Bombyx mori: one gene and its partners. The protein of the gene in region 1 binds, or shares a complex with, the protein of each later gene. Links are inferred from orthologs where the notes say so. Each region holds a gene or a part of one and is shown on either strand. Other genes may lie near its edges. The genes, in order: protein CWC15 homolog, pre-mRNA-splicing factor SPF27, pre-mRNA-splicing factor ATP-dependent RNA helicase DHX16, beta-catenin-like protein 1, pleiotropic regulator 1, cysteine-rich PDZ-binding protein and protein crooked neck.

Region 1 (3,970 bases):
TTAAATACAGGTTAGTTTAGTTTTATTTCTCGATCTAAATTTGGATTCCTATTCGCGAAGTTGGACTTACGACCCGCGTGGTGGTAAGTGCTTAACGGACCTCATAAAAAGCCATCTTGAGACAAGGTAGAGTACTTGAATTATTGTTTTAGAAAATACGCTACCCTTCAAAACCACAATGTATAACTCGTTCAAAGCATAAATACCACGTTTGTAATGCACCAAAATGTAAAGAAAAAGTCAAATATTAAAATCTATTTTAATAGGGAATCAGGTCAAGGGACATCTGAGGAATTACGCTCTCGTGATTTTCGTAAGGAGTTGGATGATAGAGAAAAAGATGTTAAAACTACGACTACAAAACGTACAAGTGAACCACAAGCAAAAAGAACTAAGGTTGATCAAGTTCCTGCAGCAAGTCTTGATGCTGATGATCCTCTTGAAGGCGATTCCACTGACTCTGATGATTCAGATGATGATACTGCTGCATTGCTAGCAGAATTAAACAGAATTAAGAAGGAAAGGGCCATTGAACAAGCTAAAAAAGTAAGATATATCTTAGATACTAGAGTTAGATACTATACTATAAGACTATTTTTGTACTGATGTACACAAAGTATGTTTAAATTAAATTTTACAATATATATTTTTTTTAATTTGTCTAACTTTAGTGTACTTTAGTGTATTTTGATACCCAAACTAAATAAAATTCAAATAACAAATAAACCTTGTTGCACAAATCAATTTTGTTTTACCTTATAGGAAGCTGAAAAGAAACAAGAAGAGGAAAGAATTAGAATGGAGAACATATTATCGGGTAATCCTTTACTCAACTACTCCGCTGCAGGACAGAAGAATGACATGAAGGTAATTAAAAACATTAAAATGAATTTTGTTTTAACTCCTGATAACTGTTTGGTGATTGAACTGAACTGCAGATGTCATTGATGTTGTATTTATCAATGTTGAAGTAATTGTGCCCTAAAAGATAAAGACTCCCGGTGCATTTGTATAAAGCTATGTGACTGTGCCGGTGCTCTCATCCTGCAGACAGGTACCAATGGTAATGAAATATATACTTAACGTAAATTGACAAATGATTTCCATCATGAACAAATAGTGTTTAATAAAGATCGAACCCACCAAAATTATAATTTGCTTAATGAATGGCAGTAGAATGGGGTAGTAATGTGTTTTCGTTTGGTATAAAATCTGATATTTAGAACTCATGTCTCATAGTGGGTGACAACATTTAAGATGTCGATTTCTATGGGCCATGAACTTAATTCACCCATCAAAGGAATAAAAAAAGTGTAGATGACCTTTAGTTTCTGCAGTGGGTAGGTATTCATTTGTTGTAGTACAAGTTCTTCATTCTGGCTAGTCAGTTTCATGATACTACATTATTAAATTACACATTGACCAGGATTATCTTGATAAATAATTTAAATGCATCTTTTAATTGGCATTTGTTGTTTTGCTGGTGTTTTGTTTTTGTTATTTTGTTATTCCATAGTAACAATACTATCTGTGTTTTACTTTTTTTATGGCATATTTATGTGTTTGTATGTTTATGTATGTGTTGTATGTTTCTGTTCTGGTACACTATGGTACTTTTCAAATCTGTTTCAAGATATTATTTTTCATTCTTCCAAGTATGTCTAGCATTGTCTTTTTGGTGTTAAGTGGTTATAAACTTGGGTCTCACTTAGATTATAATTATTCAGAGCTTTTGTTGTGTATTGGTATTTTAGATATCCTTGCCATATGATAATAATATGATGTGTATTGAAACATGTGCAAATAATATTCAATCAGTATCTGTTTTGATATCTCATTGGTGAAGTATACTGACAACTACCAGATAACCCTTTTATACCAGGTTGGCCATAAGTTTGTTCACCTATCTATGCTATAAAAATAACTATTAAAACGTATTGTTGCTATTGTTTTCGGTTTACTTGTATTTGAATCAATATCATTGATACTCCACAGGGAATACTTTAATAATGCACAAAAAAATTATTTTTCCTTTCATTATGCATATGTAGCGGCAGATATTGAGGATTCAAGACTATTAAATAATTTCATTTAGACTTTGGTTGATTCATTATTTTACATTTTCGGTTCTATAAACACTGGTTGCTGTTTTGACACCACAGGGACTGTGATTTTGTACACCCACTAATAAATACCATACAAAAATGCAAAAGTAATTGAAAGTGATTTTAAGAACATTAACATAATCTGCTCAAGCATTGGATGAATCCGGTATTGGAACGCCCAGAGGCACCACTCAGCACAACTCGTCATTAGGCCTCTACATGATATCATTAGAGAGAGACTGACTGAGTTATGAGAGTCACAACCTTCATCTATGAGGGTCGATTAAGAAGAATTTAAGAAGTCGTCGTGGCCTAAAGGATAACTCATTCGGTGCATTCATGTTGAGCGATGCACCGGTGTTCGAATCCCAGGCGGGTACCAATTTTTCTAATGAAATACGTACTCAATAAATATTCTCGATTGACTTCCACGGTGAAGGAATAACATCGTGTAATAAAAATCAAACCTGCAAATTTTAATTTGCGTAACGACTTGTGGTAGGATCTCTTGTGAGTACGCGCGGGTAGGTACCATCCCCTAGCCTATTTCTGCCGTGAAGCAGTAATGCATTCCGGTTTGAAGGGCGGGGCAGCCGTTGTAACTATACTTGAGACCTGAGAACTTATATCTCAAGGTGGGTGGCGCATTTACGTCGTAGATGTCTATGGGCTGCAATAACAACTTAACACCAGGTGGGCTGTGAGCTCGTACACCCATTTATGCAAATAAAAAAAAAGGACAATCGTAATATTATATCTATATTTTTTTTGGGTTGTTCCAGGTAAAAAGAAGATGGGATGATGACGTTGTTTTCAAAAATTGCGCTCGTTCTGAACCGGAAAAGAAACCTAATACTTTTATAAATGACTCATTAAGATCAGAGTTCCATAAGAAATTTATGGAAAAGTACGTGAAATAGTAAATCATTATTGATATTGTAATTCTAAATTTAAAGTTGTTAAAAGCGATTCTATACCTTATTGTAAGCGGAATAGTGATAACGAAGTGGAAATGCTACTATGGATATTACAAACACGTAAAGAAAAGATTGACGAAAACCAATATAATTTTAGTAAATATTATGAAAAAAATGTCATTTTGTTGTTTTGAATAAATTATATGAAAACAAATAGTATTTTATAAAGTTTATTTTCAAGTTAATGTCACGTTACTGATAAAAAGTAATGTTTGTTTCCTCAACAACAGATAGAGGTCAGTTCATTAGCATAATGTGTCTAATTTACTCATATAACAACGAACATTGCTTTCGGGTTCGAAATTTGAGACTCAACTTCTGAGTTTCAGTGGTAAAAATCTTGGTAGTTGGGGTATCCAAACTAAATTAGGGAAGGTATTAAAGAGATTAATTTACAAAAAATTCAAACTTACTGCCCCGATTTGATAATCAATACGCCACCCGTTAAAGTACATAACTGCATTGTTAATGGTAGTAATAAATAATTATTAAATTAACTTATTAACATTCGGAGTTCGGACTGACCAGACTGACGTGTCCGGCGAAGTTGAATGTTTTTATTATTGCGGCGTTGTGAGTGAGGCGTGAGAGGGGAGGCAGTGGTAAGTGCGGAGCAGGCGGCGGCGGCCTACCTTGAGTGGGCAGGTCCACAGCTAGATCCCGCGGCTGGCCATGACGCGTCTCACATCTCGTTAACTCGCCACTAGCCAGTCGCAGACGCTCTCACAACGAATATGGCTGGTTTTGTGCAGTTGGTGTGTGCGTGTTTTGCATTGTTTACTGTGGTCACCGATGCCATACTTTCCGGACTTTACATTGACAATGGTGTTGATCAGACGATAATTCATCATACGATTACACGACACGAGCGCATGGTAGTAGAACATG
Region 2 (4,474 bases), on another chromosome or scaffold:
GCTCTTACTTTATCAGATCAATCAACAGCTTTCCAGAGAAGGTCTTGCAGAAATGGTTTATTATGACTAATGATAGAAAATAAAAACATTTTAGATATCCGTTTTTGTTTACATACAATAATTTATAAAAATATAATCACCTTAGATTCTAACAAAACCATGGCAGCATTAACTTTTTCTAATTTTCTCTCAAACTGCATCAGTTTCTGCTCGCAATTCGTCATAAAGTTATTCAGAAATTGTACATTTATTGTTAGGAAATGATTTACAAATGCCAATGTACGTTTTTGATGTAATGCCGCAACCTGCAATTTGTTTTTTAAATATTAAAAATAAATTATTCTCATTTATAAAAAAATATTGTGTTTTCTAGAATTAGGAAGTTTATAAAGATAATCAAGGCCGTGAAGTTTGTACTGCATTAAATTTTACAACAAATAATAATAATTCCAAATTTAAAACCTTAGTTAAATCCGTTTGTGGGGATTCGGATTGAGTTAAATCTTCTTGGATGGTCATTTTCAGTAGAATATAAACAAGACGAAAAAGAAATTTGTCTTGTGGTTTGGAAGCTTGAATTTGTTTTGTTCTACTGAAAAAACCAAATTGAATTACATTTCAATACATTGACTAATAGGTCCACGAGTTTTAATTACACTAAGTTTAATATAAAAAGCACCTAATTATTTTACAATAACAATCTTTTTCCTTCCGTGACAGTCGTACCTATTTATTTACGTTAAAAGAGTATGTAAGCAAATTAAAAGGAATATTTCAGTAGGTACAGTAGGTACGGTACCACCACCTAAGTCTGACATTATTATCATTAATTTACATTTATCAATATAACACTATTCTTTGACAATAGTGCTACTGTCCACTGTCAATATTTGTAGTAGTTCTATTTTTCCAACTGGAAAGGCAAAAGTATCATACGATACAGCCTAAGTTATCATTGTATTTTATGAAAAATGATAATATGAAGTAAAATGAAATAGAGTTGATTAATTTGAAACAATAATCAATTGGCGTGAAATCTAAGTAAAATGATGGTTATTTACTGAGACTTTAAGGAAACTGCCACCTCGCCCCGGGCAACAGTCTCATCAAAGAGGGTACACACACGCATGATTGCGTCGATGGTAGACCGGCCCTTTCTGAAGCCGTACTGTTCGGCTGACCGATTGGAACCCGTCCTGGGGATGGGGCAGATGACGCATCCACGACTTGCTCCAACAATTTTCTAGTTTCGTCCAGCAACACGATGTGGTGGTACACCACGGATGACTCCTAGAGGAGCTCCTCTTTCCTCAGAAGGATGAATCTGTCCGATTTCCGTCCGGGCTCAAGGCAGGCTTCGAAAAGCCGCACAAGCCAATCCTCCAAAGTACCGAAGGCCTGACCTGGCCACGACTCCGTAGGAGATCTAACAGCTAAGGGCAACTGCTTCGCGAATGTATCTGTAATAAAATGTCTAATTTTGTAGTAATGAAAGCTTTTTAATCACTGAATACATGTGAAATGGCACAAGTTTTAAAAAATCAAACAAACATTGGACGTGTTCACACAAATCATCCACTCCTAGACGTGCAGCGACCGTATTTATTAGATTCCTGCGACTTTCAGTAGGACGTCAGTTCACCTCGTCGAAAGTCTATCTAAGCTGCGTCGTGTGTGGCTGCCACTCGAGAATATTTTCAAAATAAGTTCGTTGATCTCTCAGTAAGCACCATTGTTTCATTATCAACTCATCTAATATCTACTCGATGTGTTCTTCTTTCATTAAATTCCATTTTATAATATAATATTAATTTAATATCAATTTATTGAATATCGAGGAATTCAAAAGATTTAGCTATATGGACTATATTTCTTTTGCCTGTTCATTTTAGGCTTAAAACTAGCTCAAACGAAGAATGTCACACAAGTGACACAACTAAAATCAAATAAACAAAGAACAGCGTTAAAACTTTAATATAAAGTGATAAATCACAGTACCCATTCGTAGTAAAGGGAGTTATAAATTTTGTAGAAAATGGCAGGAGAAGTTGTCGTAGATGCATTACCATATATAGACCAAGGATATGACGATCCTGGAGTAAGAGAAGCTGTAAGTATTATGATAACCTTACTTTTTTTAATTCTTGGACCATTTCCTTTACAACAAAGATTCATATCGCTTTAGCTTTGACATCTAGAGAAAGAAATTCAATAATCATTTTGGTATTGCTGGTCTGAACGACCACACTTCACAAATGTGGGTTATATTCTCGTCTGCTTCAAAATGCGCAGTCACCGCTGAGAGATTTATATAAAAATGTTTTTTTTTCGTTGTTTCTTGAACATGTATGCTATTTCGAAGGACTTCCTTTTTCGAAATGGAATAATTTCACCTTTAGAATAAACCGATTTGTATAGTCTTGGTTCGACCACTGCCAAAGATCAATTTGAAATTAGATTTCTGTTTGTTCCTTTTTGCATTGAGTGATACAAAACGAAGTAATTTTGGTAATATTCATCTTGGTCAGTCTAGGAAATGCAGAACTTCTAGGAATTTTTGCATACACTGTAAGCTACAAAGCACTTTTGCTTCAATTCTTTTTCAATTTTAATGTCAATTTCAAATTCAATTCAATTCACGATTTTATTATTTTGTTTCATTGCTATTGTAATAATTGATTGTGTGACTGGGAAGCTGTCTCAAAAAAGTATTATTAAAGCACTTCTTATTGATACTGCAGTATAAAATGTCCTTATAATCAAACCTACTTATAGAAGACTCCTTAAACTACCCTTAAATATGGGAATTGATTTTCAGGCATTGGCCATGGTGGAAGAAGAGTGCAGACGCTATAGACCCACAAAGAACTATCTTGAAAATGCAGGACCAGAACCAAGTTCTGCATTTGAAACTCCTGCTTTACAACGAGAGATGGAAAGAGTGCAACAGAGATTGCCGATGGAACCATTGTCTATGAAGAGGTGCATAAAACCTGCAATTTTTTTTATTTATTATTTTGTTCTTTTAATTTGCACCACCCACCTTGAGATATAGGGTCTAAGGTCTCAAGTATAGTTACAACGGCTGCCCCACCCTTCAAACCGAAACGCATTACTGCTTCACGGCAGAAATAGGCAGGATGGTGGTACCTACCCGCGCGGATTTACTAGAGGTCCTACCATCAGTAATTACGTAAATAAAAACTTGCGGGTTTGATTTTGATTCTTCTTCTTCTTCTTCTTTGTCGTTTCCTCATTACTGAGGGTCGTGACCACCTTGGTCCAGCTTTTGCACCAGCTTCCTCCAATGCTGCCTGCATTCGGCCTGCTTAATGGCTTGATTTTGATTACATGATGTAATTCCTTCACCATGGAAGTCAATCATGAACATTTGTTTAGTAGGTATTTCATTAGAAAAATTGGTACTCGCCTGGGATTCGAACACCCAGTGTATTGCTCAACACGAATGCACCGGACGTCTTATCTTTTAGGCCACGACGACTTCAATTAAGTTGATAGGTTTGTAAGCTAAGTTGGTATTTGAGTCAGCCTGGCTACTGATGCCACAGTATGAACATGATGATAATGAAGTAATAGTAAGATTGTGAGGAGATATAATATGTAGGTCTGTAACTTTTACTAAGTGGTATCTTGTGATGCTGACTGTTAATATGCCAAATCCTCTGGTCATGTTAACAAACATCACTATTGAGTGATCACGTGATGTAGTGAAGCACAGGAATGTGGTTTTAAAAAAAAAACTATTGAAATATTATGTATAATTAATTCCTCAGGTATGAACTTCCACCCCCTCCAGTCGGAAGAATGAGTGAACCAAGTGCCTGGGCCGAGTCAGTTGACAACTCTCATGCACAGCTGTCACACCAAGCTATCAGAGTTCTCAATTTAGAGTTGCAGTTAGAGTACGGTTCAGAAGCATGGAGATCATACCTCAATACACTTCAAGCATTAGTCACAAGAGCTCAAAACGAACACAACCAGTTACGGTAAGAGATGTATAACATAGAAATTATATTTAAATGGTTGTTAGTTTGACAGGGAGTCTATCTTCGATTATAGAGCCTAGGGAAGTAATTGTCTGTTGCTTTGACCCTTATTGCCTTTCATAGAAACAGTAGGTTAGAACTGCTTGTAGGATTTTATATAACTCCAAACTATTACAGTCAAACCTGGATAAGCGAGAGTTCAAGGGAGCACAATCTCATTCTCGCTTATAGAGGTTTCTCACTAACCCGAGTTTCTCTCTAATGCTCCCTCTGAATTTCATTTAGAGATTTTACGGATTCAAACGAATTCACTATTTTAAGTTTATCACTTAATGACAGCAATTGATTAACGATAAACTGAGTAAGTCTGACAAACAAGATGGTACACAGGCACACGTGTCCATTCGAAAAGAATGCCATAAAATAATAACGTTATTTAGTTCCACGAAATAGAATAGGTTCAATAT
Region 3 (4,347 bases), about 3.3 Mb from region 1:
GAGTGAACATCTCGCTATTTCGCGCGCACTCCGAATTTGAATGGAATAAATGTCATAGACTGCAGTACTATCTGTCTTCTTATTTGACTACTAGCCGCTCTACCGGATTTAAAGAGTTTTGCACCTAACTCGTATTATTATCAATTTAAAATACGTTTAGATCAAAATAAGGAAAAAAGAAAACAGAATATTTATTTTCGTGCTTTGTTCGTCTTGGTGAGAAGAAATCGAATCATCTTGCCACTCGTCTTATTGGAAGTGGTCACTACAAAATAAATGAAATTAATAATTTAAATGTTTATGCATTGGTTGCATGTAATTCATATTTTTACGTAGACATTAACAGGACAAATTTTAATGTAACAAACCTCTTCGCCAGTTGGTCCGTGTATTCGAAAATTTAAATCAAAATAATTTTCAACCAAAGATTTGACTTTAGAAGAACTAAAGGCTCTTACTTTATCATTTAAAATGAGGTTTCGAGTTGTGACGCTGAAAATGAGTGATTAATAAAATTAAATGTTAGAAAAATTACTCACATGACTTTATATTCTTCTCAGCCGCTAATTGCAATTATTTTTAATTGTGATTAATCGACTAATTTATAAAATACCAGCTATTCCAAGTAGCTTTACTTGCCACACAAAGTAAGCGCATTTTTGAAGAACATAACATTTACTTAGCCGTCCATTCGAAATATCGTAGCGCGATATGAGAAACCGATAAGTCGCAAGTATAATTTTACAGTTGGTATACTTACGTCGCCATACGATCAACAAAACGTAGCATAACTTAATAAAATGATACTAAAAACAAACTGTATATATTTGCTATAAGGAAACAAAGCAGAAAGTATTGCACATAAACCGTATTTTTATTTTTGTACAGGACGTGTCATTAAAAATATATGTAAAGAACATAGGTAGAGAAAACAATCACTTTCTGGTATGAAAAGTAGGTTTACATATTATTATAAATCCTCTTTTCTCAGTTTTACTTCATGCTGTACTAAATTACAGGATCTTTTAAAGATTTTAACGGAAACTTTATCTTTTTTATCTACGGATATCTACAAGGCATTCACAGCTTTTACAGCGCGTCCTCAAGGATGCCAATCTGCTCGCGCAGCTGTTTCGCGAATGAGTACATATACATCGAAAATACTCGCATAAAATATTAAATTATTGTATGTTTTTATTCCTGTAAATGAACAGGAGCTCGTAAAGCATCTAGTTTAAGCGGTTGCCACTAAAGCCCATAAAAATCACAAAACAAGATTATATATAATTTTGTTCTACTTCTAATTATTTCGGTTCGTTTTATTTAATTTTACTCTCAAAAGACGTGTCTAACTAGTCTGACTACATGTACGGACTATGTTCCCTTTGCTTTATAAGTGAACAAAACATGTCAAAGTCAAAGTGAAAAATAAAACAATCAATTTTACTAAGGAGACGGTGTTTGATGGTTAGCACATGCGAACGACTTTTCCTTTTAATTTTTAATTGTTTGTGTTTTTGGTTATATTTTTTGCTGCCTATATCTATCTGTGTTTGTTTTTCTTGTTGTGATTGTCAAATTTTGTGTGAAGTCATAAGGTAAGTTTTCATTTATTTAATCTCGCGTAGTCAATGCGGGCCGATCATGGAGGTTGACGATCGACCCCCTGGACGTCCCCCAGATCCTAGTTTAACCTGGAACGATGAGGGACAACATCCTCAGGGTGATTTTACATACTCACCAGTCCTTACTGTACCATTAACTAGTTTCGAGTCAATTGAGGCACATCATCGTAAGCGAGCTCTCGAAACCAACAATGATAATGATCTTGCTTCGTCTACTTCCAAACAACAACGACCGTTAGCACCTAATAAGTATAGTCGCGAACGCTATTCTGCGAGGGATGTGGCTCCATTTTTGGTCCATGTTACTCGTACAGAATCTGACCCGAAATCGGGAACTACCCTCCACCCCATTAAGTTTGGACAGATGATGATCAAACTTAATATTAAAAATGTTCTTCCTGATGGAGTCAAAAAAATAGGTCGGAATAGGATTGCTGTCCAGTTTAAATCTCCAGAGGATGCAAACTCATTTTTGACCAACAAAGAATTGCTAGAAAATGGATACTCCTCATTAATCCCGACTTATAATATCACTAGGATGGGTATTATTAAGGGTATGCCTAATGACTGGTCAGAAGAAGAGATAGCTTTAAATATTAAGACACCATCTGGTTGTGGCGGAATACTGAAGGTGAGACGCATTAATCACAAAGTTATTACTGATGGGGTACCAGAGTGGAAACCTACTTCCTCTGTGGTTCTTACATTTGATGGTCAGACCCTCCCAAAACGTGTCTTTTGCTGCTTCAATTCCCTCCCTGTAGATATATATTATTTCCCTACTGTACAATGCTTTGGATGCTGTAAATTCGGTCATACAAAAACTCAATGTCGCTCAAAGCCCCGCTGTTTCCGCTGTGGTGATGAACACTTTGGTGAGAACTGCACTAAAGAGGACCCAACTTGCTTTTATTGCTCTGGACCTCACTGTGCTAATAGCAAGCAATGCCCTGAATACCAGAGACAAAAAAATATTAAAGTTGCTATGGCCCAGAACAACATCTCATATGCAGAAGCATCCAAAACATTCCCTACTGTGTCAAAGTCCTTTGCTGATGTTTCAGCATCAGTCCCTCCCACAACTCATATTATTCCTTCAGCCCCCTCGTCCTTACGTTTCCATCCTCAGACTTCCTCTTCCTCCTACAGAAAAACGATCCTCCAGAAGCCTAAAAGTCATGCCCCTCACGTCCCGGGCTATGATCAAAGAACCCATAGAGCTATTACTAATTCCTACTCTTTTTCTCCCTCTACTAATGGCTGCGCTCTCAGTAAAAATTCTTCTCCTTCTGAAGATATTCCCTCTAGTGAAATCTTCTCTCTAATTAAACTACTAGCTTCTCTTTTAACTAAAATTAACCTACCTGACCACGTTGCCAATGACATAATTGACACTATTTTTTCCCACCATAATGGATCTAAATCTCTTGCAGTGGAATGCCAGGAGCGCCCTCCCAAAAAAACATGACTTTCTCCATTTAATCAATTTATATAATCCCGCAATCTTTGCAATTTCTGAGACGTGGCTCTTGCCACATCTCCCATTTCACATCCCAGGTTATAGCACCTACCGTGATGACCGTGATGACGGGTATGGTGGTGCTGCTATACTGGTCAACAATGTCTTCCCTTCTTCTTCTCTTTCTCTTCCTCCTCATGGAGCCGAGATTAATGCCATTGGTGTTAACATCCTTGGTATTAATTTTATCTCCATTTATTTCCCTCCTTCTGTCCCTATATGTATTCCTTTCCTAAGAAATTTATGTATTTTATTGAACCCAATTATTCTTATGGGAGATTTTAATTGTCATCACTTCTTGTGGGGATCTGACCATTGTGACGCTTCAGGTACATATTTGGCAGAGCTAATAGATGAAATAGGGTTATACGTCCTTAACGATGGATCAGCCACTAGACTCCCTAGACCGGGTCAAAGCAGAAGCTGTGTGGACCTAACACTGTGTTCATCCACACTAGTAAATTCCCTAGACTGGAAACGTCTTAATTCAACATACGGTAGTGATCATTACCCTATTTGTTCTACCTTTTCCAATAGGTCTCTCCCCAGCAAAAATAGAACTCCCTTATTGCAGTATCGCATTACTGACGCCAGGTGGGACATTTACCAACAGAATCTAGATAAAAGAATCCTTTCCTTTCCCCAAATCTCTTTTGACAATTTGGATGCTTGTTTGAGTTTGTATTCAGATTCCATTTCAGCTGCTGCAGATCTGAGTATTCCCTTGAAAAATTCAGCTTTGGGAAAATTATCTTCTCCTCCCTGGTGGGACAGAGAATGCACAGACCTTATTAAATCCCGGAAAGAAGCTGAATTTAATTACATCAAGAATATGACCCTCTCCAACCTTCGGGAATTTAACAGAATAGTGGCTAAATCCAAGCGCACATTCAAGAAAAAAAAGTATGAGAGTTGGAAAAAATTTTGTTCCTCTCTTTCACCTTCATCCCCGTCTTCCCTAGTCTGGCAAAATTATAAAAAATTTAGACGCGGATGCTTCCCTCAAAATTCTCCCAATATCTCACGGAGCATCGCCCTACAATTCATTAACAGATTGGCTCCTGCCTATGCTCCTCTTATTGATGAGTGTCCCTCATTGGCAATTAATATGCTCGCTGTTGATCCTTTAGACGAACCTTTCTCCATAAATGAGCTAAATTCTGTACTTAAATATGTCCAGGACTCATCTCCTGGCTTAGATGG
Region 4 (4,305 bases), on another chromosome or scaffold:
GATTGTGCGAAGCGTTGCTGTAGTTGGAACATTCAACGTTGAGCATTATGCCGCATAATGCGCTCTTGTGCTGTAATTGGAAAACTACCCTAATATGCAAATAACTCATCATTAAAAAAACAGAAACATATTCGATTAGTTATAAAACCGTGTTTTAGAAACACGCTATTTCCTCCCGATACCCTCTCCGTGCTTTATAGCATTTCGAGCACCGGTCGACGTTCTTGTGGAAGAGTTCGAACGTACAACCCACAGACACTACCTAAGTTTCTTGGAAGATCTTCAGTTCTGCAGGCCGCGATTTCGATCCTGTGATCTTGTGATTTAGCAAAGCACCACTCTTTTTAGACTTGGTGTTAGAAATTCCATCAGGTCGAGAGTATGAGGAATGGGTCTGGGTCTATTTAGCTTTACTAAGATGTGCTCCGTGAGGCGGTACAGTCATTGGATGCACGGCTGTTAAGCACGGAATCTAATGACTGTACCTTTGCCTTTCGATGTGACGAAGTTCCAGAAGCGTTTCAAGCGAATCAAACGTTTATACAATTTGTCTATTGCTGGAAAGATGCTAATTGGATAGTAACTCGTGGGTTCGTTTAAAGTTTTTCTAGTTTTCGGGTATGCCGATAACCTCTGATCCATACCGTGAGACAGATTCAGCTCGCCATAGCGGCATTTAAAATGGAGAACACAATTATTAGTTGAATAGGTAAAAATTTTAATGTTGTGCAAGCTTTCGGATCTAGGAGCTGTCCGTGATTGCAAGTTTTTTAAGCTATTTATTATGGCATTACTGGTATTTTAAAGGGCTCACTAACCGAGAAAACCTTTATTTACACTTTATCTTTATCTCAATTACATTTTCCACCATTTTACTCAGAAGTTTATTGTAGCCTTTCTTGCCATATTCTTTCGAGTTTCATTTTTTCCTCAAAAGGCACATACATTTTTGCAGAAAGAGTTTAGTACTTTGCAAGAAATTCATCGTATCCCTTCACCTGTATAATTGGATAAAAAAAGAAATGGTGAAATAGTTGTGTAGGTACTATCTAGTATCTATTTTAGTGGTATCTTTTTTACTGGTGGTAGGACACTCTTGTGAGTCCGCACAGGTAGGTACCACCGCCCCGCCTATGTCTGCCGTGAAGCAGTAATGCGTTTCGGTTTGAAGGGTGGGGCAGCCGTTGTGACAATACTGAGACCTTAGAACTATATCTCAAGGTGTGTGGCGCATTTACGTTGTAGATGTCTATGGGCTCCAGTAACCACTTAATACCAGGTGGGCTGTGAGCACGTCCACACATGTAAGCAATAAAAAAAAAAACTATGCATAGCTCATAAATTTAAAAATTATCTTCCAAATAAGAAGATATGACCTAAAGGTCTCTTGTCACCAGGTCACAAAATTAAAAAAAAAATATCTATGGCATAATATTAAAACCATAGATTATACACTTAATATGATTAAAAACAACAAAAAAAAAACCTTTGAAACTAACCTTAAAAATAGGGACTTTTATGGACATTGAGAAGTTTGAATTAAAATATGAAAACTCAGGACAGTTAAAAATATCACCAATACGTAATAAGCCCAAAAATTACCTTTTCGCTTAAAACAAAAAATGGATGTTGCCGAGCTATTGACATTCAAAGTAATATTCTATATCATAACGGTGCAACAGTTTATTTAATTCAACAAAAAAACGAATAAACATAAATATTAACTTCGCAGCCTACGCCAACACCAAAACGGCCAAATGAAGATGAGAGCGATGAGGAGGATCAAGCCAAAAGTGCTAAAATTCGTCGTACCACCAAACTTAAACAGGAACCTGTACATTTGAGCAAGAATATGTTGAAGGAACCCTCGATTACTGATAAAGAACGAGAAGATATTCTTAAATTTGTTGCCACTGAAGTAACAGAGGTAATTATTGTATTATTTGTAAAATTAAGGAAGAATGAAACAAAAATTAATAGTTTTTAAACCATCCTGTATATTTTGCTGTCATCAAAGGTAGATTAGGCAATCCTGTTTTCAAATGGTCTTTGTCACTTATGGACATTAATGCTAATAGAAAAACCAAGCTAACCTCCGAAGTTGTCATTGTTCACACATAATTTAAAGAGGGACATGTAACAGATGAATTATAGAAATCCCAAATGAAAAGAGTTCATTTTATGTATTAATGCAATAAGTAGGAGTGAATACTCCTCGGGCCCTGAAAGATGCAACGGAATAAATAAGATCATACTCATGACAGACATACATAGAAAGGGCAAGATGAAAAGAAAATTAGTTTATTGAGTCAGAAGCTCTGAACAATTTTAATTCATAATCTGAAATACTTCTTAATGTTTATTCAATTAAGATAGTGATTATAAACTCATAAATGTATTGAATCTACAGGGAGAAGTACTAGATGAAACCACAGTGAAGAAACTAGTTCTCAATTTTGAAAAGAAAGCACTTAGAAATAGAGAGATGAGGATTAAATTTCCTGATCAGCCAGACAAGTTTATGGACAGTGAAATTGATTTACATGATGCATTACAGGTATAATATTGTGTTATGATATTCAGAAGAATCTGATACTAACTTCATTATCAGCCCTCAAGGCTTTGCGCAACCATCCTATTTCTGTTGCAATTTAGTTATGTGTTCTGTTCTGAAGTATTAAACAACTATTTCATAATATTATTGGAATTTTGGCTGCATTAGGCTCTTACATAATACTATTTTGGCTGCATCAGGTGGGCTATTCACTCATGTATGCCATTAAAAAATAAAAAAAATCATAAGAATTGTAATTATTACAGGATTTAAGTGCTGTCGCAACAGTACCAGACCAGTATCCTCTGCTTGTGGAATTAAAGTGTGTGAACTCATTATTAGAATTACTATCACATGATAATACTGATGTCTCCACCAAAGTTGTTCAACTGCTACAGGTATGTATATGCTTATAAATTTTGCAAAACAATATTGCTGGGCTCAGTATCCAGTGTAAGCATGACTAAGATAAAAAACTCATGTCTTCTTTCTTGCCTATTACCCTCTGCTGGATTGTAGGGCTCGGGCTTCTTTCTTTTGTATCAGTCTTGGGCAGTCTATGGGTTAAATAAACTCATGCAAATCATTTATTTGTGTTTCCAGATGTTGTGCGTCATTTTCAATGAAATTACATATTTATATGTGGCAATACTGATATAGAGTATATGACAGTTTCTGTCCGTAAAATGTAGGTTACAAGAAAGGGTTTAACCTTTTAAAAAATGGTCAAAAATAAAAACTGACCCAATTATTACTTCTATATCTTTTATCTCAAACAAACATCTATGTTATAATGCCAGGGGCAGAGCCAAACCACTGCCTACTGTACCAAAATAAATAATGATGACATTTCATGCAGTTATTGTCAATATTTAAAAAAAATATTTTGCCATAGTAATAAACTAGTAATAAAATTGTAATTCTGATAATATTTACAATTGATGTACCTCAGGAAATGACAGATGTTGACATACTCCATGAGAGTGAGGAAGGTGCGGAAGATTTAATAAATGCAATGGCTGAAGCTGAAGCACCTGCATTATTACTACACAACCTGACTCGATTGGATGAGCAGGTACCAGATGAACGAGACGCTGTCCATAATACACTGGGTATGTCAATATATCATATAAGAATTTCATTTTAACCATTTAACTACAAACTAATAAATATGATATGTTATGATAGAATGATAAATATATAATGGCAATAACTGAGATAATGAAATTTGTCTTATCGTTTAAGGTATTATTGAAAATATCACAGAATTCAGACCAGAGCTTTGTATTGAAGTAGCAAAACAAGGATTTTTACAGTGGATTCTAAAAAGACTGAAGGTAACCATACTAATTTTATTTAATTATAGCTAAAATTGAACCAAATCTAAGATGCTTTATCAAGCATGTCTGCCTTCAGTGCAGTCTTTTATCCTAGTGTGAAGAACTTCACAAAAATATTCCTAAATATATAACCAAGAAAGGAATGTACTCCAAATGAGAACCTTCTCTTCATCCAAAGCTCCTAGTCGGAGCCACAGTCAAATGTTCCGTGCAATAATTAGCATGCCGTACATAATGCATATAAATTAAATAATATTTTTTGTAAATAATGCTAACAGCATTTAGAGGAAAGTTTGTTCGTAAAAAAATATGTTTGAACTATCGAATTTGTAGACAACGCTCGCATATTGACCTTTACACAGTTTTATGTGCTCACAATAACCACTGAAGAACTGCCTGACTCTTGATATA
Region 5 (4,251 bases), on another chromosome or scaffold:
TGCTTTATATACATATAATTATATGGAGTATTTCAGAATGAATAAACAATAATGAATTAGTTGTGGTTTCTGTGATATAGTAAGAAAGCAACATATAAAGCCCTTAACCTCAATTAAAGAGTAAACAGTACATATTATTAATAATAAACTATACAAAACTGAACTCTCTTTTTCACTTCACTCCATGACACTGAATAACACTGAAGAAAAATCCTTTTTAAAATCTAAATAGTTTTAAATAATAAAAGTTTTCTTTACATATATTTAAAGACATATCATTTAACCTATATTTTTTTGTTATTTATAGGTCAATAACTCACTTTGTTATATTCTAAGTCCCAGCACTTCACCTGTCTGTCCTCACCGCAGCTGAATAAATATGGATGTCTTGGTGACACTACCACTCCTGAAATAGAATATATTCATATTACACATACTGGTACTTGATGGATTCTTAGATCATGATTTTCACAATTAACATAGACTCAACCTACGGTCTCTGTGCGTACAACATGATGAAATATCCAGAACTGTGTTAATGTGAAAATTATGATCAGAACTTGTTATGTAATTCTGTAATATACATAGCAGCAAAAGTTTGAAAAAATTAAAAATGTCTACTATTACTAAAATAAAAAATTACTAAATTAATTAAGGAACCGAAGATTGGGTTTAGTGGCGAGCTTTGGGGAGGCTTATGTCCAGCAGCAGACTGCCGCAGGCTGATGATGCTAAAAAAATTACTAATTTAGTAGGCAGCGGCTTGGCTAAGCCCATGGCATTACTGAAGTTCCTGGGCGACGGTAACCACTCACCATCAGGTGGGCAGTGTGCTTGTCTGGGCAATAAAAGAAAAATGCGTTCATTATTCAAAATCTGAAAACCAAGCATTGATTTTTGCATGAATACAAAAAGTGTGCGCACCTACCTCTTACTGTACTCACATGTCCAGTGAGAGATACTTTTAGTTTCCCACTTGCTAAATCCCATACTTTTATCACTCTGTCAGCGGCACCTGAAATATCAAAACCATCATGCAGATTAATTCCTTAGGATTGGTTTTATTGTAATGGTTGTGCTAAAAGTTCATTATAACAGAAAAATGAAGTAACTTTAATCATAAATCAAGTTTATTTTTTCAACCGTTCATAGGACAACAGCTTGTCTACACAAATACAATATATTGATTATCTAACTGTCAAAGTTTATGTTTTGTGTTGTATTGATAAAAAAGTCTTATAAATAAGTATATTTAATATGTAAAAATCAAACTTTATATTAATAAAATTTTTAAGATTGACAAATTTGTAATTATAATTCTTACCACATATCCTTCTTCTAATTTATACTAAAAGGATTAAATATATTAGTTAAATGTTGGCATATTAGATGCCATTAGTTTGCTCTGTATGTGGTTTCTATAATTTTACTTACCGGTAGCAAACCACTCATTTCCAGGTTCTACAGCAACACATCGAACCCAACCCAGATGACCTGATATAACACGCATTAATTTCCAGGGTGGGTGCCATTTTGGTTTGGGCATAGACGGCGGTTTCCGTGGTACAGTTAAAGCCCCCGAGGGGGGAGCTGGTGACGGTGAAGGTGTTGGTCCAGAGTATGGGACAACAGCCCCTTCCGACGGCAAAGGTGCAGTTTCCACTGTTTCTGCTAAAGAAAACATTCGATTTATTTCATTGCAATATCAAGGAGTATTGGACCGATTTTTTATTGAATGTAATGAGCATAGAACTCATGAGGTCCACAGCTAAATTCTTGCTGTTTTTTTATCATAACGAAAATGCAACTTTGTTGTAAAAAAAATTCCATAAAAATGAATAATTTTTTTTTTGTTTCTGTATTTGATCCATATTTCTGGAATGTTCTCGATTTTTGTAGAGATATCGTATTGACTATAAAAGCGTTGCAGAGATGACATGAAAGCAGTTATTAAAAGGATCTACTCAAAGCGAAACAGCAAACGGATCACCTGAAGCGAAGCGGAAGAAGTGAATTACGAATTGTAAAGTGTTTGGTAAGTGTTCTTAGTTTTAAATAGAGTTTTAATATGTACTTCAGTGGAAGTTTTATTTATCCTGAGCCTAAGCGCTTAACCGTATATAGGAGTTTGTTAATTGTTTTTACCTGTGGTCAGTGGAGTTTCAGGTCTACAGGTGACAGACTCTTGTTGTTTCAGGGCCTGAGCCTTCCGCACTGCACCCATGACTTGTCCGTAACTATCTCTTGCTTTAACCAATTTCAGTACTTTCTCTCTGTTAATGTAAAATTATAAATAATAATTATCTACTCTAGTGTTTTATGTAGTTATACATAACGTGACATTTTCCTCTAATTTATTTACCTTGACAACATTGTCTGCTCCCATAAAGGTTTTCTCCAGTACAGTAGAAAGTTTTAAAGGTTTAGCAGAAATTTTTTGATACGGAACAACAAATCGCTTAGTTTGTCTATTGTACCGATCTTTGAAATAGCTCATCGATTATTTCCATTAGGACTTGTATTAAACTAACCTCAAATAATATTATTCTGTTTTACTTACGCTTTATCGTCGATTGGCGGCAACATTCCTTGATTAGCTAGGAACATATCGTGCGATCTTTTCAACGATCGAAACACTAAAGTGTGTACAGAATGTTTAATCACGTCCTCAGACATTATGAAGTTATTAATTAATGTCTAAAATTACTTAAAGAATACGAAATACTATTAACTTGTAATATTAAATCAGCATTTAAATTCAATTTTATTTTTAATTAATGCATATTCCTTATGATTCTTACGAAAAGCTTTTTGGTTTTAACGGTGTCGAGACCAAGAAATACCCGACAACAAACAGCAACAACTTTCCTACAAAATAAATCCTACGTCAAACAAACGTCAAATGGACGGTATGAGCAGCGTCACTGTCAAGTGTCACTGTACAGATAATAAAAAATTTGGGCAAATGAATGCAAATCTCGATTAGCCTGCAACAAACATAATTATTATGATTTTTTGAAATTACCATTTTAATTGTTTTAAAACAAACATTTTAAATTCCTCTTATTGAGCTGAAATACTAAAGGGTATTTGAAGAAAAAATTTATTGTTTGTTGTTTATGCTTGTTGTGACGGATAGAAAGTACGGATTTGGCTCAGAATTTTATCAATAATTTAATTAGAGTTTGCTCCTAGAAATGAAAAAAACACTGTTTACACAACGTCGATTTTATTCATAAGTACAAAATTCGAGCATAAAAATTCATTGCGAAGAAAATTGTGGAATTGATTTTCAATAAAATACACAGTGGACTATATCTATATTTACCTCTAAATTCACAAGTAGGTACGAACATGACTAGAAATTGTGCTTACAGACTAGAAACTAGACTAGATACAGCTGCTCACTAGTTTTCGAATATTTATTGATTTAATGATAGCTATTTGTTATGTTAAATTACATACAATAAACATCCTCCAAAGTATTATTTACATTGTACAGTGTGCCTGGTGCGAGTTGTTTTAACTTCTCGATCGTGTAAAAGTTACTCAAAATTGTATGGAGCTGGGGCAGTTACTCTGCGTTTGCCGCTAAAGGCGCTGTTCCAACTCCATACAAATGGTACTAAGCACATTGTACTGTTCAACACACAGACTTGGAATACTTAATAAGTGCATACACAATATTTACATAAACACACAATTACCGTAAAAGAGCATTTTAGTATTTATGAACGAATGTTAATCACTGAACTACCAGAAATTTCGACGACGATTTTTCAAAACTAAAAAAGCATTACACTCAGTGAAACAAGAGTCAATAGTACGGTTGTTAAACGAGACGGTCAACGTTCGAATTTTCAATCGACTGCCAATCGTAATCGATTTCAGTTGTATCGGCGACGGAGAATACCGCGCCACTCTCGGTTCAGATGGCCGATTTCTCTGGATTATTAGCGTCGCTAACGCGGCGGGAGTGGGGCGCGCGGCGCAGCGTCCTCGGCTGAAGGTTCAGAGGAGGCAAGTTGGGGCGTTCGATCCTGGTTGGCGATGACACGAGCGGTCTCGTTCTGCGCAGCGTCTCGATACCGTTACGGAAGTAGTCCTCAGCTCTATCGCTGTAATTTTCTATCAGGGGCGCCGGGTCTTCGTATTCAACATTGAAGTGACGGGTGATGGCCAAGTCTTCGGGTGGGCCGAGTTTGTAGAGAGGGGGTTCGACGCACTCGTAGTGGTGGTCCTCCGTATCGT
Region 6 (4,456 bases), on another chromosome or scaffold:
TCTTCGGAACGAAATCTTAGATAAATAACAGGTTAACTATTAACCTTTATTTAGTGAAGGTTTTGAACCGTATTCTTTGAAGGAGACGATTATATTCAAATCAATCTGTATTGACATATCAATAAAAATATTTTGTCCAAATGCACAGATTGCCACCTTTGATAATAGACGACTCATATACACATATGTTTAAGTAATATCACCTTCACACTACACCTACCAAGGTTCATCTCTGCACCCCCCTAAGGTAGACTGTTAGAGAATGCCTATGGCATTAAGTCCTTTATACCGTTTAGTATATAAAGTTATAAATAAATAAATAAACATATATTCAGAATTATTCAGATTATTTAGAACATAGATAGGACAGATGACAACTTGTAACAATCATTATAATTTGTCATCATTCATGAGTGTTAGAATTATTCTCATTTCATTTTTGAAACCGATTTCTTGGATTCAAGTCTTGATTATCTGTAGTACCGCTAATTGTGGGTGTTCATAGGTTGGCATTACAATCCTATCTGTTTATTCCTCGAAGCAATCACACTTTACCATCCGTGAGGAAATTTCCAGTATCTTTATTATTATCTTAAAATAGTCCAAGGCATATAAAGCATTGCTTTACAAATACACTATATTTTTTCTTTTAGAACTTATTTAGGTAATGTTTCTTATGAACTAGGATAACATAACAATAAACTAAGTTGAGCTCTGTCTGTAATTCTTAGTGTCTAGAATCTTCTTTCCACACATGGCACATATACCCTTTTTGTATGCACAAGCTTGGCAGTAATGTGATCCGACCTGGTGTACTTTCGTTCTGCAGATTCTGAAAAATAAAAGAATATATTTTAAAAACTTTTAATACATTTTACTGGAGGTATGGTTAGACCTAATAGACGCCTTTGAAATGTGGAGCTGGAGAAAAACGTTACAGATTCCATGGAATGCCTTTCTCACCAACGTGACTATTCTGAGAGAGCTTAATATCATAACTAGTCTTTCCAATATATGCCTTCGTTGGGTGCTGGAATTCTTCGGACATATTGCCCGTAAAGAGGGTCACAATCTAGAACAGCTGATGCTGACAGGAAAGGAAGATGGCAAACGTCCAAGAGGATGCAGTACCACGAGATGGTCGGACTAAATACAATCTTCTCTGAACATCAACTTCCACAATGTCCTTCATGAAGCTAAGGATCGCAGCAGATGGAGGGAAATCGTACGGAAGAAACTGATGCAGCGGGGGAGTTCAGTAATGAGGAAAACGACACGAGGAGGTGGAGGTGGTATGGTGTAATGTACTGAAATAGGTTCCACAAACCTAGTTATTGCAACCATAAATTTGTCCCATTTTCAAAGGAGAGCCATTTTTAAATTCGAATAAATCTTCAACTGCATCTCTTCATATAAAAACAACGTACACATTACAATCATCTATGGCCCTATTAATCTACCCATGTAGTGTACTAAATAAATCACTCAAGAGAAGAAGGGATAATGAATATAAAAAACATCCTTCAAACAAGTAACAACTAACTTTTATTGTATTGTTATTTTACATATTGGTAACTAAAAGTCCAGCAGTATTTAGTGTGTTTGTCTGAAGCGTTCGGGATTAGGAAGTATTATTATGAATATATGAGGCAAAATTGGGGAAGTATTATTAAGAATGTATGAGTTAAAATTGGAGAAGTATTATTAAGAATGTATGAGTTAAAATTGGGGAAGTATTATTAAGAATGTATGAGGTAAAATTGGGGAAGTATTATTAAGAATGTATGAGGCAAAATTGGGGAAGTATTATTAAGAATGTATGAGGCAAAATTGGGGAAGTACTATTAAGAATGTATGAGTTAAAATTGGAGAAGTATTATTAAGAATGTATGAGTTAAAATTGGGGAAGTATTATTAAGAATGTATGAGGTAAAATTGGGGAAGTATTATTAAGAATGTATGAGGCAAAATTGGGGAAGTATTATTAAGAATGTATGAGGCAAAATTGGGGAAGTATTATTAAGAATGTATGAGGCAAAATTGGGGAAGTACTATTAAGAATGTATGAGTTAAAATTGGAGAAGTATTATTAAGAATGTATGAGTTAAAATTGGGGAAGTATTATTAAGAATGTATGAGGTAAAATTGGGGAAGTATTATTAAGAATGTATGAGGTAAAATTGGGGAAGTATTATTAAGAATGTATGAGGCAAAATTGGGGAAGTACTATTAAGAATGTATGAGTTAAAATTGGAGAAGTATTATTAAGAATGTATGAGTTAAAATTGGGGAAGTATTATTAAGAATGTATGAGTTAAAATTGGGGAAGTATTATTAAGAATGTATGAGGTAAAATTGGGGAAGTATTATTAAGAATGTATGAGGCAAAATTGGTTTTTAAACATCAGGATTACTCACTTGCACTGTTGAAATGTGGAAGTGTACGGATTAAATCGTCCTTTTTTGGCGGTTAATGCTTTGTTTTCTCCAACAACACGTCCGCCGGACTCCACGGTATTCCTAGCTCCAGCCTTCCAAGGGTCCGGCGTTATTACTCTGCCCAATTTCTTTTCGCACTTCTCACAAACCATTTTTGTTCTGTTTCTTACTAACCTAACGAGCTTGTATTAGTACGAAATTTTATTAAATTGTTGTTTTGACTGAATAATATGTAGGTTATATTAATTAAATATTACTTATCAAATATTAAAATATGCTCTGCTAGTGAACAGCTAGTTTTATTAAGAAATCATAGTTAATACACTTAATATTTGTTAGAAATAAAATTTATTTAAGTTGATGTTGTTACTAATAGTTTTCTTTTGAATTGTCATTTGGATAGGCAACAGGAATGAAGCCCATACAGTCAAAACTTGTACCGAAGTGCGGTTCCGTGTCTGTGGTATTAAAAGTGGAACTAAAACAATACATAATACAAATTGAATTGGTTCTGGAATTAAATTGAATAAAGAAAATGAAATTCAATGAATTAATATAAAAGACGGTCAGGACTTAGATGAGATGAAAATACCTTGCAATCAAATGGGTGGACAGTTGGTTTACTAAGACGGACTTATTCTTCCTATTTTCCACGGACTTTTTGGAAGGGCCCGTTATGCCACGGCCTATTTTTCACTAAGACTACGGTTAATATTTCAATGTACTTTTACGAATTCTAATCGATTAATATGTAAATTTTAAGCCTGAAGAGACATTAAATTAAAAAGTAACAGCTTGAGTGCCCGCCAAATAGTCCTTAATGTTTCGTGCTGTATTTTCTTCAAATTAAATAGTGTAACGTCGGTCTCATGCAAACAAGAACTGCTTGGCAGTCCAAATAGGTTCGAAGCCAACTCGTGCCACTTATAAATCGCATAGTCCTACACGACTTCTGTGCGCACCCTGACCCTTAAGTACTTTGTATATTGTTTTAGAAACCGTCAAGACAAAATCGAGATCATGGGGCTTAAGTTGAAGAAAAAAACAAAATAATCACGTTTTCCCTGTAGATAAAAAAAACATCAAATAAAACATCATATCCAATTGCAATATAAGTATTGAGCGATTTATTAACTCGTTTCTCGATAAACATTTCAATAGATTTTATTATTCAACACATTCAACTTTCATAGTTTATTTATCCGACGCCGAAAGCTAATCTATATTAGTGGCACGTTACTCTATCAAAAGCGTTGTAACGGAATGTTGCAAGAAATAAAAACATACGAATTGCTAACTCTGATGTTCCTCCGCCATTTTCGTTGGAGCATCACTTGGATTTGTGTCATTTGACTCTGGGTAATATTGTTCTTGTGGAGCCTCCGCTGTGTTCTCATAGCTTTGTTCGTAATTCTGCTCGGGTTGGTAGTTGACTTCGGCTATGTTGTTGTATTGTTCTTCGCTATATTGCGCGTTGGGGTCAGCATATTGCTGATATTGTTCATAATTTTCATATTGTTCGTTTGCGTAAGTCGGCTCCTCGTAATTATTTTGGTATTCAGGTTGGTATTGCATTTCTGTTGCTTCGTAATTTTGTTCCTGTCCAATGAAATTCGCATCCTCTTGATAAGTCTGTTCTTTATGCTCTACGTCCATTGGTCTTTCTGATTTAATTGGTGCATCGTTTTGATTTTTGTAGGGTTTTTCATCATCTTTGGACATCGGTTGAGATTGATGTTCGTCGGTTATTGTTGTAGGCTCTTGGTGGTCGTGATGCTCGGGTTGGAGTCGCTCTCTGTCCGTTCGGTCTGTATGTCCGGTGTCTCCGGGGGACTGATCTCCGGGATCGTCGTGTCCGGGAGAGGAAGCAATAAAGGGTACGCTTCTGTCGGCTGGAGTATAGTGCGTGGGATGTGCTGTAATTTGATTAAAGTTAGTTAAGTATCTACGCCCTGAGAGAAGCCGAAAACCGAAGCAAATGGAAGCTGATGGTACAAAGAGCCCCGAAGGGCTTTCA
Region 7 (4,539 bases), on another chromosome or scaffold:
TGGTTTATTTAGAGGAGCATATAAAGACTCTAGATATCGATTCTCGATTTTTTCAACAAATCCATTAAATTCTCATTGCATTATTATTATAGCTTAGCCAACTAAGCCAACATATTTAAATCACCTCTTAGTGTCTATGGTCTTCCTGTTTAATTTAATTTCTTATTAAATACGTTACATTTGTTCCATTTCATTCTTCGTACAATATTTTCAGCCTTAGTTACAAAATATTTGCTGTATGGCCTAGTTACTTTTGTCTGTCCAATAAACGAACTAAACATTCTCTGTGGTTCGATGGCTTAGTTTACATATTACGTGTATTATCTGTGCTATTTATCATAGATACCTACCTACTTGGCTTAAAAAACTTTGTTTCGAAGCCACTAGAAATTTATAAAAAAAAATCTACCTACTACCTACATATCACTACTAAAGATGGGTTAATACCGATATTTGTCAATATTAGCGAATACGAATATATTCATGATGTAATATTATAATAACTTAACTAATGCGTGAATATATCCTGATATCTTAATATACTTCGATAAAACGGGTAAACGAGTTAACCGAGTACGGTATTCGTGAAATAAGTTAATAATCATAGATAATACACATAAATTAGTTATTAAATTAATATAAATAGTATACTGTATCTAGGAATTTGATTTCATACTAAATATTTTACAAGTAATATTATGTACATTAATATGAATATTATTATTAAACCAGAATTTGGTCAACATTGTACATTAATATAAACAACAAGTTAGTAATATTATTTATTTCTTATTGGTGCATAAAAACATCAGCTTTTTTACTTTTTCTACCGAATGACCGGTACGTCGCTCAGAAATGAGTATTCCAGATTTCGAAAAAATCCTCTGATACGGTACTGAGGTGGCTAGTAGGTACACAACAGTTATATTAATAGTATAATCCATGAACCGTTTGGTTAGAAAGTCATTTCGATTCAAAAATCAAACTTTTATTTATAGTTTGAGAAGTTCTTAGAAGATAATTAACTACTACCACAAAAATATATTGTCATCATAATTTATTACATATAAACATTTAATGAAAATAAAGCTCACCGATTTTATTCCAATAAATGTGGAAATGCACTATTTTGTCTTGAGTCGAATCTTTAGTACAAACATAAAAAGTAATGCATTTAAAAATTCCCACTGGCATCTTTGACATGTAAAAAGTGCAATACAAAATAGTCCTTAAACTCATAGCGAAATATAGTTATTTTCATTGCTCAGTATATAAACATGTAGATTATCTCACTTACTCTTAGCGCATGCAGTGCATTGATATGAATGTGATAAACAGATATCCGCGAGACACGTACGGCGTATGTCAGTATATTTTCGTGTGATAGATATTTCGCTAGGAGTAACAGTGTTCTGTGGATAGATACAACCCGACTGATGTGAGCTGGCTATTATTATGAATAAGTGAATACGGAATATTAGCATATCAGAATTCGACGGATTACCGATAGACGAATACAAGCTGTATTACGAATATCTTAGTGAATGCTAATATATCGGTATCACCCTTAACCACTACCTACCGTATTCACTTCTCTTAAAAATGTGTATAATCTATGCTTCTCATTTTGACAATAAATAAAAAAAAAACCTGAAGATTTCCTTTCCTGTACTTAGCTGTTTATTGTATGTAATCAAATTAAATTTAGGTTAAACTGAACTAAAAAATTATAAACTGTGCAGAACGTAGAACTTAACATGGACAGCAAGACAACAAAAATGCCGAAAGTGGCAAAGGTACGAAAAAAGTGTTTGATGGTATTGTTGAATAATATTACTCCAATTTTAACATGGATCTCACGATTTTTAGGTGAAGAATAAAGCACCAGCAGAAATCCAAATAACAGCTGAACAATTACTTAGGGAAGCCAAAGAACGAGACCTTGAGATATTACCACCGCCACCTAAACAGAAAATATCTGATCCTGAGGAACTTCGAGACTACCAACATCGTAAACGTAAAGCATTTGAGGACAACATAAGAAAGAACAGACTTGTAAGTAAATTCAATTTATTAGTCGCTTACAATGTATAAATGACTGTTTTTCCTATTAATGTAATTGTTTCTCAGTTTTAAGACCATCCAATGCTTAGTTTTACTAGCTGATAGAGTTCACCAAATTAATTTCATTAATTGATTTCGTGCCATTACGATCCTTTGAACAATATAGGTTTCATGCTGTTTCCACAATAAGAAGGGTACTAAACAATTTCTACTCAGAGCATTACTGACGAAAACCAGATGAGGATACTTTTATTTAGTAGTATTTCTTCAAGAAAACAACAAATAATATAATAATATCGAATTTTAGTTTAATGGATGCTTTGTTTTTGTTTTCAGGTTATTGGGAACTGGCTTAAATATGCACAATGGGAAGAATCACAAAAGCAAATCCAAAGAGCTCGTTCAATATATGAGCGTGCTTTGGATGTGGATCACAGAAATGTTACCTTATGGTGAGAGCTATCATTACAATTAACAATTTTATTTGAAAAATTATTAACTTATGTGCTCTTGGTACTGCCAGTGTTTAAACCATATGACTATTTTAAAAAATGTTTGAGAAATCTGTGGTGTTAATTTTTTTTTGCATTCTTGGCTCATCTGATAGTAATTGTTAGTCACACTACTGAGTACTCTTTGTAAGCCTCATTTGAACAAGGACATATTGTTGGATCACTCAAGACATGGGCTTTAGAACAAAATTCATGTCACAGTGAAGAAAAAAATTAATTCTTAAAGAGTTACCATACAAAGATCAGCTTATAATAGAACATATAAAAAAGATTCCTATGTCACTCTGTTCACATTACAATTTTATTTGGTTAGTAAACTTGTAGACAATTGTGGACGAAATGTTAAGATGTTTGATATACTTGTAATGACCAATACAACTATACTAGAGTTCATAGCCTTTGTGCTACCTAAAGCCCAATATATTTAAGGAAATACATACCCGATATGAAGAAATTTCATAAGTAAATAAGAACAAAGTGTCATTACAAAATTGATACTCTATTAATGTATTGTGAACTGGCATGTAATATATCATCCTGCCTATTTCAACAGTTATGCATTTGGTTTGAATTGTCCAACAGTTGTTTTATAAAGGAATTGAGACTTCAATCTCAAATTGATGCCTATTTAGTCCAAGAGCCACTTATTTAACAAATAAAACAATCTGTACTTTGAAAAATCTGTAAAAGTCATGGACTTTCTTGGTAAATTTCTTACAGTTTTAACTGTTAAATTTGCGTCACTCTTCAATTATCCACACTACCTTAACTACCTGTACTTTAGGCTGTTATACCACACCAAAATATTCTCAGCGTATCATGGGTTTTAGGCTGAAGTATACTGAAATGGAAATGAGGAACAGACAGGTAAACCATGCCCGTAATCTATGGGACAGAGCTGTTACAATTCTGCCAAGAGTATCTCAGTTTTGGTACAAATATACTTACATGGAGGAAATGTTGGAAAATGTAGCTGGAGCAAGACAGGTGATATTTTTTATACATGTACAATTTCTCGTATAATGATAATAGTCACTGACTGTAACTGAAACAAGGTTTCTAATTTACTTTTGTTTCACAGGTATTTGAACGTTGGATGGAATGGCATCCAGATGAGCAAGCTTGGCAAACATACATAAACTTTGAATTGAGGTACAAAGAACTTGAACGGGCTAGACAAATCTATGAACAGTTTGTTATGGTGCATCCAGATGTAAAGAATTGGATAAAATATGCAAAATTTGAAGAAAACCATGGTTTCATAAATGGCTCTAGGACAGTTTTTGAGAGAGCTGTTGAATTCTTTGGTGATGAAGAATTAGATGAAAGACTGTTTATAGCGTTTGCCAAATTTGAAGAAAATCAAAAAGAACATGACAGAGCAAGAGTGATTTACAAATATGCTCTGGATCATGTCCCAAAAGACAGAAATAAAGAACTTTATAAAGCTTATACTATTCATGAAAAGAAGTATGGTGATAGATCTGGCATTGAGGATGTAATAGTAAATAAGAGAAAGTATATGTATGAACAGGAAGTTATAGAGAATCCCACAAATTATGATGCATGGTTTGATTATATTAGATTAGTGGAGAATGAGGGTAATTTAGATGACATAAGAGACACATATGAGAGAGCAATTGCAAATATCCCTCCTTCAAAGGACAAACAATTTTGGAGGCGTTATATTTACTTGTGGATTAATTACGCTTTATATGAAGAGTTAGAAGCAGAAGATTTAGATCGAACAAGACAAGTTTACAGAACCTGTTTAGAATTAATTCCTCATAAGATATTTACTTTCTCAAAAATATGGCTCATGTATGCTCAGTTTGAAGTGAGATGTAAAGATTTAAAGCAAGCAAGAAAAACACTTGGTATGGCTCTGGGCATGTGCCCCAGAGATAAATTATACAGAGGTTATATAGACCTTGAGATACAGTTGAGAGAATTTGACAGATGT

The links.
Region 2: protein CWC15 homolog (region 1) and pre-mRNA-splicing factor SPF27 share a complex: the UniProt entries of both Homo sapiens proteins name them as parts of the PRP19-CDC5L splicing complex. The link is inferred for Bombyx mori from reciprocal best matches to the Homo sapiens genes CWC15 and BCAS2.
Region 3: protein CWC15 homolog (region 1) and pre-mRNA-splicing factor ATP-dependent RNA helicase DHX16 share a complex: the UniProt entries of both Homo sapiens proteins name them as parts of the minor spliceosome. The link is inferred for Bombyx mori from reciprocal best matches to the Homo sapiens genes CWC15 and DHX16.
Region 4: protein CWC15 homolog (region 1) and beta-catenin-like protein 1 share a complex: the UniProt entries of both Homo sapiens proteins name them as parts of the PRP19-CDC5L splicing complex. The link is inferred for Bombyx mori from reciprocal best matches to the Homo sapiens genes CWC15 and CTNNBL1.
Region 5: protein CWC15 homolog (region 1) and pleiotropic regulator 1 share a complex: the UniProt entries of both Homo sapiens proteins name them as parts of the PRP19-CDC5L splicing complex. The link is inferred for Bombyx mori from reciprocal best matches to the Homo sapiens genes CWC15 and PLRG1.
Region 6: protein CWC15 homolog (region 1) and cysteine-rich PDZ-binding protein share a complex: the UniProt entries of both Homo sapiens proteins name them as parts of the minor spliceosome. The link is inferred for Bombyx mori from reciprocal best matches to the Homo sapiens genes CWC15 and CRIPT.
Region 7: protein CWC15 homolog (region 1) and protein crooked neck share a complex: the UniProt entries of both Homo sapiens proteins name them as parts of the minor spliceosome. The link is inferred for Bombyx mori from reciprocal best matches to the Homo sapiens genes CWC15 and CRNKL1.

Annotation. Positions count from the first base shown.
Region 1 is NC_085110.1:8,228,380-8,232,349, reverse strand, and holds the end of protein CWC15 homolog, read left to right. Parts: coding exon 1-10; intron 11-266; coding exon 267-546; intron 547-762; coding exon 763-867; intron 868-2,887; coding exon 2,888-3,025; 3' UTR 3,026-3,236; downstream 3,237-3,970. Other genes in the region: protein 60A, read left to right, coding at 3,817-3,970. UniProt on the Homo sapiens protein: Involved in pre-mRNA splicing as component of the spliceosome. Component of the PRP19-CDC5L complex that forms an integral part of the spliceosome and is required for activating pre-mRNA splicing.
Region 2 is NC_085118.1:940,963-945,436, reverse strand, and holds the start of pre-mRNA-splicing factor SPF27, read left to right. Parts: upstream 1-1,578; 5' UTR 1,579-1,722; intron 1,723-1,892; 5' UTR 1,893-2,035; coding exon 2,036-2,110; intron 2,111-2,818; coding exon 2,819-2,982; intron 2,983-3,794; coding exon 3,795-4,007; intron 4,008-4,474. Other genes in the region: WASH complex subunit 3, read right to left, coding at 141-305, 463-519. UniProt on the Homo sapiens protein: Required for pre-mRNA splicing as component of the activated spliceosome. Component of the PRP19-CDC5L complex that forms an integral part of the spliceosome and is required for activating pre-mRNA splicing.
Region 3 is NC_085110.1:11,489,311-11,493,657, reverse strand, and holds the start of pre-mRNA-splicing factor ATP-dependent RNA helicase DHX16, read left to right. Parts: upstream 1-1,443; 5' UTR 1,444-1,598; intron 1,599-4,347. Other genes in the region: WW domain-containing oxidoreductase, read right to left, coding at 369-492, 761-789. UniProt on the Homo sapiens protein: Required for pre-mRNA splicing as a component of the spliceosome. Contributes to pre-mRNA splicing after spliceosome formation and prior to the first transesterification reaction.
Region 4 is NC_085121.1:10,822,896-10,827,200, forward strand, and holds the start of beta-catenin-like protein 1, read left to right. Parts: upstream 1-1,419; 5' UTR 1,420-1,622; coding exon 1,623-1,652; intron 1,653-1,732; coding exon 1,733-1,927; intron 1,928-2,410; coding exon 2,411-2,557; intron 2,558-2,820; coding exon 2,821-2,952; intron 2,953-3,506; coding exon 3,507-3,666; intron 3,667-3,799; coding exon 3,800-3,891; intron 3,892-4,305. UniProt on the Homo sapiens protein: Component of the PRP19-CDC5L complex that forms an integral part of the spliceosome and is required for activating pre-mRNA splicing.
Region 5 is NC_085129.1:1,617,423-1,621,673, forward strand, and holds the start of pleiotropic regulator 1, read right to left. Parts: upstream 2,906-4,251; 5' UTR 2,677-2,905; coding exon 2,561-2,676; intron 2,274-2,560; coding exon 2,146-2,273; intron 1,672-2,145; coding exon 1,435-1,671; intron 1,016-1,434; coding exon 929-1,015; intron 407-928; coding exon 321-406; intron 1-320. Other genes in the region: uncharacterized protein LOC101740918, read right to left, coding at 3,929-4,251. UniProt on the Homo sapiens protein: Involved in pre-mRNA splicing as component of the spliceosome. Component of the PRP19-CDC5L complex that forms an integral part of the spliceosome and is required for activating pre-mRNA splicing.
Region 6 is NC_085130.1:5,681,207-5,685,662, forward strand, and holds cysteine-rich PDZ-binding protein, read right to left. Parts: upstream 2,854-4,456; 5' UTR 2,592-2,853; coding exon 2,419-2,591; intron 833-2,418; coding exon 703-832; 3' UTR 624-702; downstream 1-623. Other genes in the region: drebrin-like protein, read right to left, coding at 3,733-4,355. UniProt on the Homo sapiens protein: As a component of the minor spliceosome, involved in the splicing of U12-type introns in pre-mRNAs. Involved in the cytoskeletal anchoring of DLG4 in excitatory synapses.
Region 7 is NC_085124.1:5,696,763-5,701,301, forward strand, and holds the start of protein crooked neck, read left to right. Parts: upstream 1-1,594; 5' UTR 1,595-1,757; coding exon 1,758-1,796; intron 1,797-1,869; coding exon 1,870-2,055; intron 2,056-2,400; coding exon 2,401-2,516; intron 2,517-3,406; coding exon 3,407-3,563; intron 3,564-3,657; coding exon 3,658-4,539. UniProt on the Homo sapiens protein: Involved in pre-mRNA splicing process. As a component of the minor spliceosome, involved in the splicing of U12-type introns in pre-mRNAs.